Linked DNA regions of Caenorhabditis elegans. The protein of the gene in region 4 purifies or fractionates together with the protein of the main gene of each other region. This does not show direct contact. Each region holds a gene or a part of one and is shown on either strand. Other genes may lie near its edges. The genes, in order: etfa-1, ctl-2, ubc-12 and marb-1.

What was found.
Region 1: the proteins of marb-1 (region 4) and etfa-1 fractionate together in Caenorhabditis elegans (co-fractionation; one large-scale study listed by BioGRID). This does not show direct contact.
Region 2: the proteins of marb-1 (region 4) and ctl-2 fractionate together in Caenorhabditis elegans (co-fractionation; one large-scale study listed by BioGRID). This does not show direct contact.
Region 3: the proteins of marb-1 (region 4) and ubc-12 fractionate together in Caenorhabditis elegans (co-fractionation; one large-scale study listed by BioGRID). This does not show direct contact.

What each region holds. Positions count from the first base shown.
Region 1 is NC_003279.8:7,700,543-7,705,094, reverse strand, and holds etfa-1 (putative electron transfer flavoprotein subunit alpha, mitochondrial), read right to left. Parts: upstream 2,667-4,552; 5' UTR 2,662-2,666; coding exon 2,614-2,661; intron 2,477-2,613; coding exon 2,384-2,476; intron 2,185-2,383; coding exon 2,055-2,184; intron 2,010-2,054; coding exon 1,719-2,009; intron 1,173-1,718; coding exon 916-1,172; intron 867-915; coding exon 756-866; intron 710-755; coding exon 641-709; 3' UTR 506-640; downstream 1-505. Other genes in the region: T23G11.1 (uncharacterized protein), read left to right, coding at 3,126-3,267, 3,314-3,678; T23G11.11 (uncharacterized protein), read right to left, coding at 3,747-3,914; gna-2 (glucosamine-phosphate N-acetyltransferase), read right to left, coding at 4,221-4,515.
Region 2 is NC_003280.10:14,299,036-14,303,767, forward strand, and holds ctl-2 (Peroxisomal catalase 1), read right to left. Parts: upstream 2,993-4,732; 5' UTR 2,986-2,992; coding exon 2,932-2,985; intron 2,860-2,931; coding exon 2,215-2,859; intron 2,164-2,214; coding exon 1,891-2,163; intron 1,153-1,890; coding exon 622-1,152; 3' UTR 521-621; downstream 1-520. Other genes in the region: Y54G11A.7 (Tetratricopeptide repeat protein 38), read left to right, coding at 179-500; ctl-1 (Catalase-2), read right to left, coding at 4,586-4,732.
Region 3 is NC_003279.8:11,909,606-11,912,609, reverse strand, and holds ubc-12 (NEDD8-conjugating enzyme ubc-12), read right to left. Parts: upstream 1,291-3,004; 5' UTR 1,284-1,290; coding exon 1,190-1,283; intron 1,144-1,189; coding exon 695-1,143; 3' UTR 557-694; downstream 1-556. Other genes in the region: mag-1 (Protein mago nashi homolog), read left to right, coding at 65-463; rbm-3.2 (RRM domain-containing protein), read left to right, coding at 1,654-1,675, 1,869-1,947, 2,033-2,189; rbm-3.1 (RRM domain-containing protein), read left to right, coding at 2,636-2,660, 2,879-2,957. UniProt on the Caenorhabditis elegans protein: Accepts the ubiquitin-like protein NEDD8 from the uba-3-ula-1 E1 complex and catalyzes its covalent attachment to other proteins. Plays a role in male tail tip morphogenesis.
Region 4 is NC_003282.8:12,207,641-12,210,825, reverse strand, and holds marb-1 (Isochorismatase domain-containing protein 1), read left to right. Parts: upstream 1-1,815; 5' UTR 1,816-1,818; coding exon 1,819-1,898; intron 1,899-1,955; coding exon 1,956-2,133; intron 2,134-2,184; coding exon 2,185-2,526; 3' UTR 2,527-2,638; downstream 2,639-3,185. Other genes in the region: F35G2.3 (uncharacterized protein), read right to left, coding at 89-238, 285-569, 1,032-1,118.

The DNA.
Region 1 (4,552 bases), on a different chromosome or scaffold from region 4:
TCTTTTTTGAAAAATATTGTTTTTATGTTTGGCCTTTTCGCATTCTAATACAGGTCCAACTTTCCGTTTTAAATATTCGTTGTTTCTTTTTTTTTCAATCGCCGTCCATTTTAAAATGAAATTCTCATAATGTTCTCTGCTGCGTCGGACTTTTTTGTCGATCTCTTTGTTATTCCAGCCCATCAGTTTCATCATTTTTATTCTTCAAAAATTTGAGAAATCTTTCAGTTTCTTGTTCCCCCCAATCCTCCCCATTCGCTTTTTTTTGCATCCCGCAGCGGGTATCTCGTTTTGATTAATAGAAGAGTAATTTCCCAATCACAAAACCATCACCAGGAATGTTTCAAATTTTCCAGTATTTATCTATCAATTCGTCACCTCACTTGTCTCGCATTTTCTCGTTGTTTCCGTGCTTCTTGTGAATATGATATTTGATACAAAATTCTCATTTCGGTTTTCTCCAGTGTTGCTCTTCTCAATTGTTCTTTATGAATCGCGTGATAACGCTCATAAAACAGATTTGGCTGTTTATTCACATTGAAAGCATAAAAACGAAAATCACAATATCCCGATAAACCGAGTTACTAAATAGAATACAATAATTTAGAAGACACATCTACATTAGGCTATTTGAAGGTATTCATGGAAGAGCAGCAGTCAGTTCTGGGACGGCCTTGAACAAATCGGCTTTCAATCCAATATCAGCGACCTGAATTATTTAGAATTAACAATTTTGTGTTAAATTCAATTTTTACCTGGAAAATTGGTGCATCAGGATCCTTGTTGATGGCGACAATCACCTTTGAGTCCTTCATTCCAGCCAAATGTTGAATGGCTCCAGAAATTCCGATTGCAATGTAGAGTTCCTATAAATTAATTCATTTTTCTTTGCTTCTCACTTAATGGATTTCTTACCGGCGCTACAATCTTTCCAGTCTGACCGACTTGCATGTCATTTGGTACGTATCCAGCATCAACAGCGGCACGGGATGCTCCGACTCCGGCTCCGAGCTTATCAGCAAGATCATAGATGAGCTTGAAATTGTCTCCACTCTTCAATCCACGTCCTCCAGAAACGACGACTTTGGCAGTTGCAAGATCAGGACGTTCAGACTTGCTCAATTCTTGGCCAAGGAATTCGCTGAGGTCGGTTTTGATATCAGCGGATGGGGCTGAATAAAGACTTTTGACAAAGATCAGGATTAAATGTGGACTATCAATTGTGGGATAACTGTCTCGAATTGTCCTACTCAGTCATAAAAAATAAAAATAAACAAGAAAAGTAGGCTCGGCCAGTTTCTGGGGGTTCGTTTTTCAGGCAAATTTTTACGTACTTTCTTTCATATATTACCCAGATGCGATATTTTGCGATTTTATCTCTAATACGGCACCCGGTCTCTAAGCGGCAGATTTTCTTAAATGAAAATGTGTTTGCGTCTTTGAGGGCTACTGTAGTTGGTTGTTGCAAGCTTTTCTTCGACTTTTTTTTTGAAGTTTTCGTCCGTTTTTAACATTTTAAAATTTCAAACTTTGAAGAAACAGAAGAAAAACTCGGAAAATCTCAGAAAATCCGCTAACAAGTAAAAACTACAGTACCCCTTAAAAGCCATACACTTATTCGAGTTCGAGTAAAACTGCCGCTTCGAGAGCAGGTACCTTATTCTTGGAGCAAAATCCTTCGCATCTTCGCATCTGGATAAAACGATTTTCTATGTTACCATTTTCAACAGCGCCGCTTCCTCCTTCCTTTGCTGGTTCGAACGATGTTCCACGGAAGGTGAGAAGCTTGATCGGTGCGGTGCTCTTCACTTTTTTAACTGCATTACCAGCATACAAAGTGCGAGTGAAACTGTCAGCCGAATGAACTTCAGTGACGTCAGAGATTGAAGATACGTCAAGCTTAGCGGCGACTCTTGGAATAACTCCACGTCCGAATGCTGAAGATCCAGCGGTGATGGCGGTGAAATTGAATTGTTTTTGAGAAGCAAGAATAACTGGAGCCACTCGTTCTGAAAATACGAGCATAATAGAAAAATTAATTCGGTTTATATTACCTGGAAGATTATTCTTCAGCTTCTCATCTTGAGCCACAAGAACTCTTTTCACTCCATTCACTTTTGCAACTTGTTCAGCAACCTTTGTTGCGTTGGCTCCAGTGACGAGGACAGATACTTCATTTCCGAGCTGAAATAAAATTAGTTAAAATAGTTGGAAGCGCGCTACAAAATAGGGTCTGTACTCTTGTAAATAACTAACAAGATTCGAAACATGACTACAACTAATACTTGGAGGGAACAATGATCATAGATCACATTTTGCATTGCGATTCGCTTGAAAATTATACAATTTATAAATATATTTTTTTAATTCCGTCTGTACTCACTTTAGAAGCAGCAGTGATAGCATTGAGAGTGATTGGAGCAAGCTTTGTCTCATCGTGCTCGGCGACAACAAGAGTGCTGTTCAGACGGGAGGCCTGTAATTTAATATTTTTTATAATTCTATTCTTCAATTTATGGAATTAATTTATGAGTCATTTACTGAATATTCAATTCGAAAACCTTGGAAATCGAAAAATCATATACCCACAGCTGATTCTCACAAAAAACTTACATTGCTGATCAAGCCAGCACGGCTAAGGACAGTTCTTGCAGAGAGCATTTCGGCTGAAAATATCATAAATAAAAAAAAACGTTTAAAAGAAAAAAAAAACATTAAAAGAACAACAAATTTACGTGGAACGATTGAAAAAAACGGGCACTACACCAAGAAAATAAAGAAAATGATAAGAAGGATGGGTGAGAGATAGATACAGAGAGACCGAGATAGAAAAGAAAAACAAGAAAATGATGGGTCAAAGTACGCGCGCGGGTAGAAATTGCCAAAATTAATTTAAATAAAAACTTGATAAAAGGTTTTCCTAATGTGTAACGTGAAAATCATAAAATATATTTCCGCATTTAATTTTATAAATTAAAAAAGGTATTATGCGTGACAGCCGATTATTCTCGATTACAATCAGATAAAGGGTTTCGTTGCTCACAAATTCAAACAGAATCACTTCTCGTCTTTCGCTCAGTCTCAACAACTCGAAAGGTTTTCAAGCAACGCCTATCGAATCAAGAATGGCAACTTCCGTCGACAGCCGTACTGCGCAGTCAGAGACCAACACTGCCGTCATCCCACCGATGAGCGATTCCGAGCTAAACACTGCTATCAATTCGACTCTCAGATCTCGTGGAAAAGCGTCTACTCGTACTGCATTGAGTAAGTTGTATTATGCCGAAGCTTCGATGAATACCGATCCTTTCAGGCACTGCAACCGCTGTTGAAAATGGACCAAGTTATGAAAAAATGATTTCGGCGTTCACTTCAGTCGCTGTATCCTACTTCGTCTTGGCTATTTCGTTTTACATTGAAACAACTGTCAGCTTGTTCCACCTCGCTTATTTCTCGTACAGAAATCCGGCAGTTTCGAAGGATCTCATCAAAACTGCATTCCATCTTTTGAAGACTTCCTACGACAACAAATTGCTGACATTTGCCGAAATCATCGAGACTACACAAAACAGTATGATCAAGCCAATGGCTCATCAGAATAAACAACACTTTTTGGAGGAAAACCAGCGTACCGCACAGTTGCAGACGATGAAAACATCAACTGCTTTTTCGCGTTAAGAAGAAAGAGAACCGGACATTGAAATTCAGAATGAATAAAGATTTATTCTACAACTATTATCTACTTATTATTGCTTTGCTAGAATCTCCTTTTCCAGAGCAGAAACTCTTCCAGCTGCTTTCCATTCTCGAGTGTGATTCCAATCAACGAAAATCATTGTGGCGGCGAGGAGGGGCCAAGAGTAAATAGGCAGACCTCGTCGGAATTTTGTCCAAACGGATGTGACAGCAATCATGATCTCAAAAATAGAAAAACATTGAAAACTTTGATGAACTGCATAACAAATAAATAAATGATTGAATGAGCGGCGTGCGCCTTACACTCACTCTTGGCGCATTTCCCGATCTGCTGACGCGTTTCAAGTTTTTTCATAGAAACCGTAACCTTTTGTATATTTCAAAGATATTAAATTGTTTCTGACACATTGGGCATGAAAATATTAAAAAAGGTAATACGTAGGAATATCACAGCTTTATTCAATGAAATTAAGAGCTAAATAAATTCTATCGTACAATAAATATGATGAATTTATGAGAAAATATTAGTCCAAAGTGATAATTTCTGGCTTGTCGAAGCGTTGAACCATGAAATGGATGTTCTCGTTGTACCCGAATTTGTTGTAGAATGGGATAAGCTCTGTTTTGCATTCCAGAGAAAGTTTATAAACTCCAAGACTTCTTGCCATTTTAACGAGAGCTTCGTTGATAAGAATTCCCAGCCTTTTTCCACGCATTGTCAAATCAACGACAACATCTTCGACTCTTCCACGAAGTCCACATTCATGAATGTACTTGAGCTCGACTACAAGAGTGGCAGCACCAACAATTTTTGAAGAACTGAAATAGTATTTATAGATGAATTATAGCTTTTTGG
Region 2 (4,732 bases), on a different chromosome or scaffold from region 4:
ATAAAGAACCTGCTGACGTCACATTTTTTAGGGAAAATTTCCCGCATTTTTTGTAGATCAAACCGTGATTGGCGAAAATTTAAAAACGTTGTATCGAAAGGTGTTAGGATATGTGGAATTAGATGTGATAATCAGCTCCTAGGTCAAACTTACCACATATCAAACTATCATTTTTCAGGCTGCTATCCGAGGACAATGCCCAAATCAGCAAGACCATCGGGATGCCCCTCTACGACGGGATGCTTGACTTTGCCCGCTGCGACTACGACACAGCTGCCGAGACTATGTACCCAATTCGCGATAAAGTTGTCCAAATCGGAGGATCTCATGCCCAGCGGGACCTTTTCGTTCAGACACTGATACAGTCTTGCATTCTGAGCAAGGATCCCAAGAATTGGGCTTTGACGCCTGAGCTGCTGGTGGAGAGGGAGACCCTGAAGCATGACTCGCTGTTGGGCCAGAGGCTTGCTGATAAGTTTAGAGCTTTACATCCGCTGTGAGTTGGTGGAGAGTTTAAGTTATATTAACTTTATTTATTTTTAATTATCATATTTTTTATACACAATAAAGCAAGTTATTACAATAAAAAGTACATTTAATTTCTTTTAATTTCAAGAAAGTTTAGATATGAGAGCGAGCCTGTTTCTGGATGAGTGCCTTGACACGAGCTCCAAAATCTGGATGAACCTTTGAAAAGTGATCGATCATTCCCTTAATAATGAAATCATGACATTCCCCGAGCGGCCCTGCAAAGTTCTGGCACATTCTCTCCCGAGCCCCGGTATCCAACACCTTCTCCCAGAATTGACGGGGTTGATCATAGTTGTTGTCATCTCCACTTTCATAACGATCAACATCTCCAGTGGCTGGGAATGTGGTATCCTTGACATCCGGACGAGTCTTTCCATAGTTGAAGCTGTTCGGGAAGAAGTTTGGAGCATGTTGCTGATTGTCATAAGCCATTGCACCATCACGCTGGGTGTTATGAGCACGGGAGCGGTACGGGCAGTTGACTGGAAGCTGGATGTAGTTTGGTCCAAGGCGGTGGAAATGAGTGTCGGTGTACGAGAAGATACGTCCTTGGAGCATCTTGTCTGGCGAGAACTCGATTCCTGGGACGATGTGGGCCGGGCAGAAGGCGGATTGTTCAACCTGGAAATAAAGTACTGTAGGATTACTGTAGTTTTGGAAAAACGTTTTTGTGTTTCCCAAAACTAGCTATTCACGTTGAACTCACGTGGTGTCAGAGTGTCTCATTTCGGCTTGATCTACTTTGATCTACAAAAAATGCGGGAGAAGAGACGCAAGGTTTTCAACTGATTTCGCATGGTTAAGAACTTGCTGAAGTCTCATTTTTTGTGCAAAAAAAATTCCCGCATTTTTTGTTGATAAAAAAAAAACAAACCATAATGGGACAGTCTGGCACCACGTGAGAGCTATCAATTCCGTCTTATGGGCCCTAGTTTCTCGTTAGAGCGCAATTGCATGCCTTACCACACTTCACACGGTAGCACAGAAACTAGATGGCTTGGTTCATGATAATCAGTCTAAAAACCTGTATTGGCTGCTATCTCGAAAACTAACCCAAATTTGGATTTTGCGATGCATATGAAAAATGGCCGCAAGAAAATTTACTCGTTCGGTAGAGCACGTTTGCACTCACCTAGCTTCTGTACCACCCTGACTCGAATAGTAATAGTTGTGGTGAATGAGAAGAACCTGCTCTCTTTCTGTGGTAACCCCAAAAAACTTTGGCTCTGTACAGTACCAAAACACAATCCTACGAGACTACCGTACCGCAAGCTCTCCGGTATAGAAACAGTCCGAGTAGAAAAGGGACCGACTAGGCCACCTTAGCGCGCAACTAGGCGGTCAAGCCCAGCCCATTACCTCAGCGAAGTAGTTCCTTGGATTTCTGTTCAGCACCATCTTGCCGACCTCGATCAGTGGGTAATCACCGTGTGGCCAAACTTTAGTGACATCAAATGGATTGAACTCCCATTTCTCAGCTTGTTCGAATGTCATCACTTGAATGAACATCTTCCATACTGGAAAGTCTCCCTTCTCAATAGCATTGAACAGGTCACGGATGGAATAGTCTGGGTCCGAAGAGGCAAGTTGACCGGCCTTCTCCACGGTGAGATTCTTCACTCCTTGAGTTGGCTGAAGTTGGAAATTATAGACCGAAAAATTTAAATAACATTAAGGACCCACCTTGAAATGGAATTTCACATAGATAGCCTTTCCGTCCTTGTTAACCATCTTGAATGTATGGGATCCGTATCCATTCATATGACGGTACCCATCTGGGAGTCCTCGATCGGAAAACAGGAACATCACTTGATGCAAAGCCTCTGGTCTATGAAGCCAGAAGTCAAAGATCATGTTGGGATCCTTCAGGTGAGTCTGTGGATTACGCTTCTGGGTATGGATAAAGTTCGGGAAGTGGATAGGGTCACGGATGAAGAAGATCGGAGTGTTATTTCCAACCAGATCCCAGTTTCCCTCCTCGGTGTAGAACTTGATCGCAAATCCACGTGGATCACGAGCGGTGTCGGCGGATCCGCTCTCACCACCGACTGTAGAGAATCTAATTAGCAGTGGGGTCTGCTTCCCGACCTTGTTGAAGATATCGGCCTTACAGTACTTGGAGATGTCATGGGTGACCTCGAAGTATCCATGGGCTCCGGCTCCCTTGGCATGAACGACACGCTCGGGGATACGTTCACGATCGAAATGAGCCATCTCATCCATATAAACTACATCTTGCATGAGCATTGGGCCACGCCGCCCGGCGGTGAGCACGGCGGTCTTCGAGTAGATCGGAGCTCCATTTGAAGTTGTGATCACTTGGGGTTTCTGAAACAAGTTACTGTAAATAGTAGTTGTTGTTGTAGAAAATGCGTCTGTGCCTTTAAACTCTAAACTCACTGGATACGTCTCCTTGTAGGTTTTCAGTTGATTATCCGATGGATCGTTTGGCATTTTGGTTCTGAAATTTTAGTTAGGAAATTTAGAATTAAATAAAACTCTGAACAAAAAAATGACCACGACGAGGTGTAATACGGAATATGGGTTGGGAGAGACAAGAGAAACAGAGAAAAAAGAAAGAAGATTGTAGCGTTATCACTGATAAGGAACATGTTGTTGGACACCAGACTACGGCATAGTCTCGCTTATTTTGGACAGGCAAAAAAGTAGGGGGAAAGACAAAAATTAGGTAGGTATTGATTATGGGTCAGGGTATACGGGGAATGGATTGATCTACAAATCTACAGATCTACAAAAAATGCGGGAGAATAGACGCAGAGTTTTCAACTGATTTCGCATGGTTGAGAACGTGCTGACGTCACATTTTTCTGGACGAAAAATTCCCGCATTTTTCATAGATCAAAGCGTAATGGGACAACCTGGCACTACGTGGAAAAGTGGTACCTGTACGCAATTTGTCTACCGTATACCTGAACTTTTGGGCTTGTCGTTTTTATCAAAAACGAGTGGCCCAATATTTTTGTGATGTATATAAAAAATGTCCGAAAAAAATAAACTCTAAATTTTTTGGTCCAAAGCTTTTTTCTTATCTTGCGCCTAAACCTGGTTAAACTCAAATTATCAGTAGAGCGCATTTGCATGGATGTACCACTAGCCGGGCCGCGGGGTGTTGCTGTATGGTGCATATGTGCAAACACCATAACTTACGCGCAAATTTGACAAACTTACTGTCAAAAAGGCGCGCTATAAATAAGCAATATATTGACTATTTTGAATTTTAAAAACAAAAAATAATCCAAAGTTGTCCACGAGCAGTACACAGCGGCTTGTAGAAGTATTGCGCGTCAAATATGGTGCATCGAAAAATGATCATATTTTACGCTCAATTTTCACTTCTACCGAACTGATTATTGATGTTTTCCGGCGATTCTTATACTCCCAGTCGCGGTGCTCTGTACAAGAGATGATGACGTCACATGTTTATGATAAGCGATAAGGGAAACCCAAAAATAAAATAAAGTGTTGTGTCGGTCTCGCAGCGATGAAATTGTTGACCAAATTTTGCAATGTTTTCACCAAAAACTACGGTACCCGGTCTCGAAACGACAAATACTGTAACTTTAAACTTTCGTTGACGCGGATTTTTTATCGATTTTTTTTTTAATTTTGTGTTTTTATTGTTATATTTGAGTTGTTTTCATCGAAAAAATATAAAAAATCGATAAAAACTCCACAGCGACAAAAGTTTGCAACTACAGTACTCTTTAAAGGCGCACATATTTTCGCAATAGATAAAAAACTGTCGTTTCGAGACCCGATACCGTAATTTTGGCGCGAAAATTGCTTTTACAGTCTAACTTAAGTTTTCATCTTTAAAAATTGACTGAAACAAAAAATTTTCCAGATTTTCTTCAAACAGGAAAATGATGACGTCACGTGGCCAATTTTCTGCCTGATAAAACGCTATTTAATTTCCGGCTTTTTTGATTTATGTGCACATAAAATTTCTTATCATCAAAAACCAGAAGAAATACAAAAAAAAGAGTTTATAAATAACGAGATTCTATATACAAAAGTTTGAATATCAAACAATTTAATGCTTCTTCTGGCAGAGCTGATGGCGAAGAGCATTTCCGAAATCCGGATGAACTTTCGTGAACTCTTTGACCATTCCATTTTGAATTTCCTCCAAACAGCCACCCAAATCACTAGCCAAATTCCCAACGAGCCGATCTCTCTC
Region 3 (3,004 bases), on a different chromosome or scaffold from region 4:
TTGGAAAATCTTGGAAAAATGACAATTTTCGCCAATTTAAATTAGTTTACGAAACAATTTTCAGGGAAAATTCGGTCACGAATTTCTCGAATTCGAATTCCGTCCAAACGGATCGCTTCGCTACGCGAACAACTCCAACTACAAGAATGACACGATGATCCGCAAAGAGGCGACAGTGTCGGAATCGGTGCTCAGCGAGCTCAAGCGTATCATCGAAGACTCGGAAATCATGCAGGAGGACGATGACAATTGGCCAGAACCAGACAAGATTGGACGCCAGGAGCTGGAAATTCTGTACAAAAACGAGCACATCTCGTTTACGACCGGCAAAATCGGAGCTCTAGCCGATGTGAACAACTCGAAAGATCCGGATGGTCTCCGCTCGTTCTACTATCTCGTTCAGGATCTCAAGTGCCTCGTCTTCTCGCTCATTGGCCTTCACTTCAAGATCAAGCCAATCTAATTTAATTCCTTCAGACTCTGTTCTATTTTATCCACCAAATCTCTTTAACTTGTTTAATTTATTCGATTTTCTCTTCTCTTCTTAAGTTCTCAAATTTCTCAAGAATAAATTTTATTTCTTTCAAAAAGTACAGTTAGAAAAAGTCTGAGAGGTGGGGGAAAAGTTAGAATCAAAATCAATTTCATAGGGGGGGTCAATTCACAGGCCATTTGTAATCCGATCCGTTGGTCCTTAGCAATATCTAGAAATGTATTCCCGAACACGATGATTGAACGATTCGCGATTCTGACTCCACATCTGGGCGGCTTGAATGTTCAGCGCGTCGTTGAAGTCCATAAGATCGTTGAACAGTGAGACGAGTCCGTGGACGACGTCGGTGAGGTTACGCGTTGGACGCCATCCGTATTGATCCAACGAGTTTTGACGCAAAATCGATAGACAAATCGATCCGTCCTCGTTGATATTTGGATGCCAAACCTTTGTCAGGCACTTAACAACGGGCGGCACGTTGTTGTACTCTGGCGGGACGGTGATCTTGAATCGGAATTTGCCTCCACGATAGATTCCTTCTTGAGGTGTCACGGTGAGTTCCAACTCATGAAGACACGATGTTGATGGGACCTCGAGATGCCACAGCTTTTGCTTCTGATCGCGAAGAGCAGTCTCCAGCTGTTGGAGTTCTGAAAATGTTGTAAAATCAAAATTTTTTATAAAGCAGCCACATACCCTGAGCTAGGAGCTTGTCACGGACGGCGATGCGGGTTTCAAGATACCGACCGTCCTCGTTGTTGCCGTTGATTCGTTTTTGAAGATTGAACATTCTGAAAGCGAAAAATTAAGAAATACGATAATTTTCAGCGATATAGGCGGCGCATACGGAAACATAGAGAAAATAATCGTTTTTTTGGCAAAATTACAGTGTAAAAGGGTCAAAAATCGATGAAAATCTTGTAATTCAGCGAAAAAACGACAAATTACGTGAGAAAATGAAACAATTGCTATGAAAAATGACAGAGAATGAGGAATAAAAGACGCAGCGTTTGCTAACGCTGAAATGACTAAAGGGGGCGGAGCGCGAACGCAAGGCTGGCACACTTTTACCGCAAGTGCCGCACGGTTTCCCACGAGTCGGAGGAGGCAAGCGAAAACGATTCGAATCACACATATTTACGCTCCGGCCTAAAATCGTCATGTCTGGATTCTCTGTTTACGGTTAGTTTTGTTAATTGTAAATTATTCAAGTAGAAAACTGGAATATTCAGCTTTAAAAGCAGATTTTAATCGAGAAAAGCCGAATTTAAAGTCTGGCCTAAAATTTTTATTTTTCTCCAGGCGTTTTTCTATTTATTGTATTTGATTAGGCTGAGATAATTTGAGTTTTTAATAATTTTAATGCATTTTTCAGTCGGAAACGCTCCATTCCAAACTACCGAGGACGACCTTGGCAACTACTTCAGCCAGGCTGGAAACGTCAGCAACGTCAGGTAAGCTTCTCTCCCCGAAATCTCCTCTTCCCGAAACCTCCTGAACGACGACCCGTTAACTCTCAATATGAATCTCTATTTTCAGAATCGTTTGCGACCGCGAGACCGGACGTCCACGTGGATTCGCCTTCGTCGAGTTCACCGAGGAGGCCGCTGCCCAGAGAGCCGTCGACCAATTCAACGGAGTCGATTTCAACGGAAGAGCTCTACGCGTCAACTTGGCTCAAAACAGAAACAACTAATTTTCATATCGGTACTTTGTTACTTGTTTGATCTTTAATGATCTCAATAATAATAAACCCATGAAATCGTTATCATAAATATATATGCTCTATTTTTTTATTTCGAATCTTCATTTGGGGTCAATCTGATGGCAAGCGTTGAGGCTAGAAGCTTGAAGGAACGGCTTCGGTTCGAGCAAGTTTTGAATCCTGGGCTATGCGCAGCCCAATGTGAGCTTACAACTGAAAATTCAAGTTTCAACACTCTTCGCGGTCTTATTTTGGACTAATTCCTCATATTTTCAGCTTGAAATGGAAAAAATCTGTCGAAATCGATGCTATTCGAGGGGCGGGGCCAAAACGCAACCCTGGCACGGTTTTTACGCAACTGCCGCACGTTTTCTCCAAGGCAGGGTGAGCGGAAAAATTAAACCGTCATAAATTTTCTGCTACGGCCTAAAATCGTCATGTCTGGAATCTTCTCTGTTTACGGTTAGTTTTTTAATAATTTATTTTAAGTATTAAACAATCGGAAACTGGTTAAAATAGCCAATAAAACTCGATATTGTCCTGAAATTTTGGGATTTTTCGGAAAAATCGAATTCGCGAAGTTTTCCCTAATATTTTCATTTGAAAAGGCAATTTTAAGTGTTTAGATTCAAATTTGGTTGCGAAATATTTAAATCAATTAAAATTTTCCTTTTTTTTAGTTGGAAACGCTCCATTCCAGACCACCGAGGAGGAGCTTGGAAACTTCTTCAGCAGCATCGGACAAATCAACAACGTCAGGTAACTCTCCCAGCCAGCCCGAGCTTCATGATTTCTAACGCAATATC
Region 4 (3,185 bases):
AACATGTAATTGTACCTGATACATACAGTTTTTCCTTGCCATACTTTATTAAGTTAATCAAAAATTATTTCAAAATTATATGGACAAATTAAATATTATTAACTTTAAAAAGACTTTTAATTTTATTATTTTCCTTATTTTCTTCTTCACTTCCTTGCAACGCACTCTTTAAGTCATTCTGGAAATTTGTTTTGTTGAACTCGATCTCGAATTTAAGCAGTTCAATCATTTCGTTTTTCTGAAATTATAGTTTTAAAATTTAATTCCATGTAAGAAATCCGAACCTCTTTAATAATCTTTCTGGCTTGTACCAAATCATCAACCAACTCATTTGCATCTTCCTCCGCAAATTCCAATGATTCCAGTTTTTGGCTCAATTCCTTTATCACCTCGTTTCGCTCTTTCAGTTTTCTCTGAAGTCCACCAATTTTTGCCACAAAATCTCTTTGATGCATTCGAATTTTGATTAAATGATTGCTGATTTTACTTCTCTCTATTTTCATCTCCTTCTGGTGCTCTTTAATCATTTCCTCACTAGACTCGCACATTAATTTTAGTTGGTAATGAGCCTGCAAACGTTGTATATAAAAAAGAATGTCAAGATGCCTGCCTACATGCCTGCCTACCACCTAGCTCTATACATTTTGGCATGCATTCAGGAATTTAGTGAACCTCTAGAAAGTAAAACTGGGAAAATTTCCAAAGAAAATTTAGTTAATTTTCACCAAATTTTCGAAAGTTTTTTTTTTTAAAGTCAAACATTTTCCAATAAAATATTTCGCATTTTTTTCAAAAAAAACACATTTTCCCAAAAAAAATTCGATCCGTTCTACTGTCTATTTTAAAATTTAATAAATCTTCTCAGCTTTAAACACCTCTTAATTTTTTATGAGGGGCTCCAATAAATAGCTTGAGGGGAACACGATTATTGGAATTTACTTTTGAAATTGAGAAATTTTCAGACTCTCGAGAATTTCATTGATAATGCTAATAAAATATTCAAAAATATAAAAAAAAACAACAAAATTTACCTTTGCCTTTTCCTCAACTATTTGCAACATTAACAGAGCTACAGTAACCGCGTACAGTAACCCGAATAGAATCGGGAAATTATCCATTGAAAGTGTCATATTCCCGTCTTGAAAGATATTAGTTAACCACGACATTATAAAATAAAAAGATTGTCTTATAAGATAAGTAACAAACGAATGAATGAGCCGGTCGTCTTAGTCAACGGGTCAAGTGTTTCAGCCGCGTTCGTGAATCAATAAGAGCTGGAATTGCCTCCTGGCATTAGTGACTGTAGTCCACACTTTCTACTGCCTAAATTATCCATACAGGGCAATGTGATCAATTGATCAATAGGTTATTAAATATAACTATTTTATGCAGTGCAGTGTTTCATCCTTTTGGGAAAATTCACGGAATCAACAGGTGAATTTATGTTTTTTAGGGTGTGAACACAAATTGTTAATGTTATAATTGTCCTGGAGAGCCTTTAAACATTTTACAATTAATATATTATAAATAATACGTAGAAAATCAGTATTTGAACAGGAAAGTAGACATTTTAAAAATTTGAAATTTGAAAAACCGCCACAAACTCAAGCAACGACACTCCGAGATTACGAATCGCGCGTTGTTTACCGTAAATTTACACTAATTTTTGTTCTCTGAAATTTTTTTTTAATTGAAAAGCCGTCCATTTATTTATCTTTTTTTGTCAAATCCTTGTGTTTTACGTGGATGTTTGCATTTGTTTTTTATTTATTTAATTTCGAATCACTCAACTTTTTATTGATTTCTGTTCCTCAGGTGATGGCTGCGCGTAAGCTGATCGCACGTATCAACCCAACGAACAGTGCTCTTTTCGTCTGTGATCTTCAAGAGAAGTTCGCGTAAGTTTTGAAAGAAACTAGTTTATGAGCAAAAATAATTTATTTAATTATTTTCAGGTCAAATATCAAATACTTCCCAGAAATCATTACAACTTCGCGTAGATTGATCGATGCTGCCAGAATCCTGAGTATTCCAACCATTGTTACTGAACAATATCCAAAGGGTCTCGGACACACAGTTCCAACTCTCAAAGAAGGTCTCGCCGAGAATACTCCGATCTTTGATAAGACGAAAGTAGATTTTCAGATTTTTGTTCATAATTCAGTCTTATTCCAAAAATTTCAGTTTTCCATGTGCATTCCTCCAACTGAAGACACTTTGAAGAAAGTTCAAAATGTGATCCTTGTCGGAATCGAAGCACACGTATGCGTTCTTCAAACTACATACGATCTTTTGGAACGTGGCTTGAACGTTCATGTCGTGGTGGACGCTGTCAGCAGCCGCAGTCACACTGATCGTCATTTCGCTTTCAAACAGATGGAACAAGCTGGAGCTATCTTGACAACTTCTGAAGCTACCATTCTCGGACTTGTCGGTGGATCGGATCATCCAAAGTTCAAGGAAGTTCAGAAGTTGATCCTTACTTCAGCCCCTGATACTGGCCTCGTCCCGTTGTCGAAGCTCTAAATGTTTTCCGTTTACGGCTTCTTTTTTTGCCATGTAGATTTGTGTTTAGTACCTCACTATGTGTAATTACAGCATTTAACCGGTTTTCGTCCCATAAATTATGGTGGTAATTTGAGTCTTTTTGCAAAACGTTTCTTTCATCGCATCTCCTTGCCACCGTTTGACCATCACATCATGTTTCAAAAGTGTGGGTAAACATTCCGAAATTCGCGGAAACGAAATGCGCTTTGAAAATTTCAAGTGGCTCACACAGTAGAGCCCGCTAGTCCATTGACCTCCAATGTTTGTAGTTTGCGAAAATGATGGTGACGATGGTGCAAAGAAAACTTTCAGTTTTTTTTTTCAGAAAAGTCAGGTTTGTACAACACACATGCCACCACGTGGCAATGAAAAAGGCAGAGGCAACAAATAAATTGGAAGCAGAGACAATAAAATGGGTGGGTGATCTGATCTGTTGTGACGAACAAAATGATGATGATTGGATTCGCGAGCTGTTGATGAAATATGCAGAAATGAATCGAGAAAAAGAGAAGAAAAATACCCAAATATTCAAACAGACAGACGAAAAAAATGTTTTCCTGATTCGAGGAACGTGTTTTCTAAGTGGAACGACGGCAAAATATGGGTTGGTCAGAACGAGAGAATGAAGAAGCACAAAG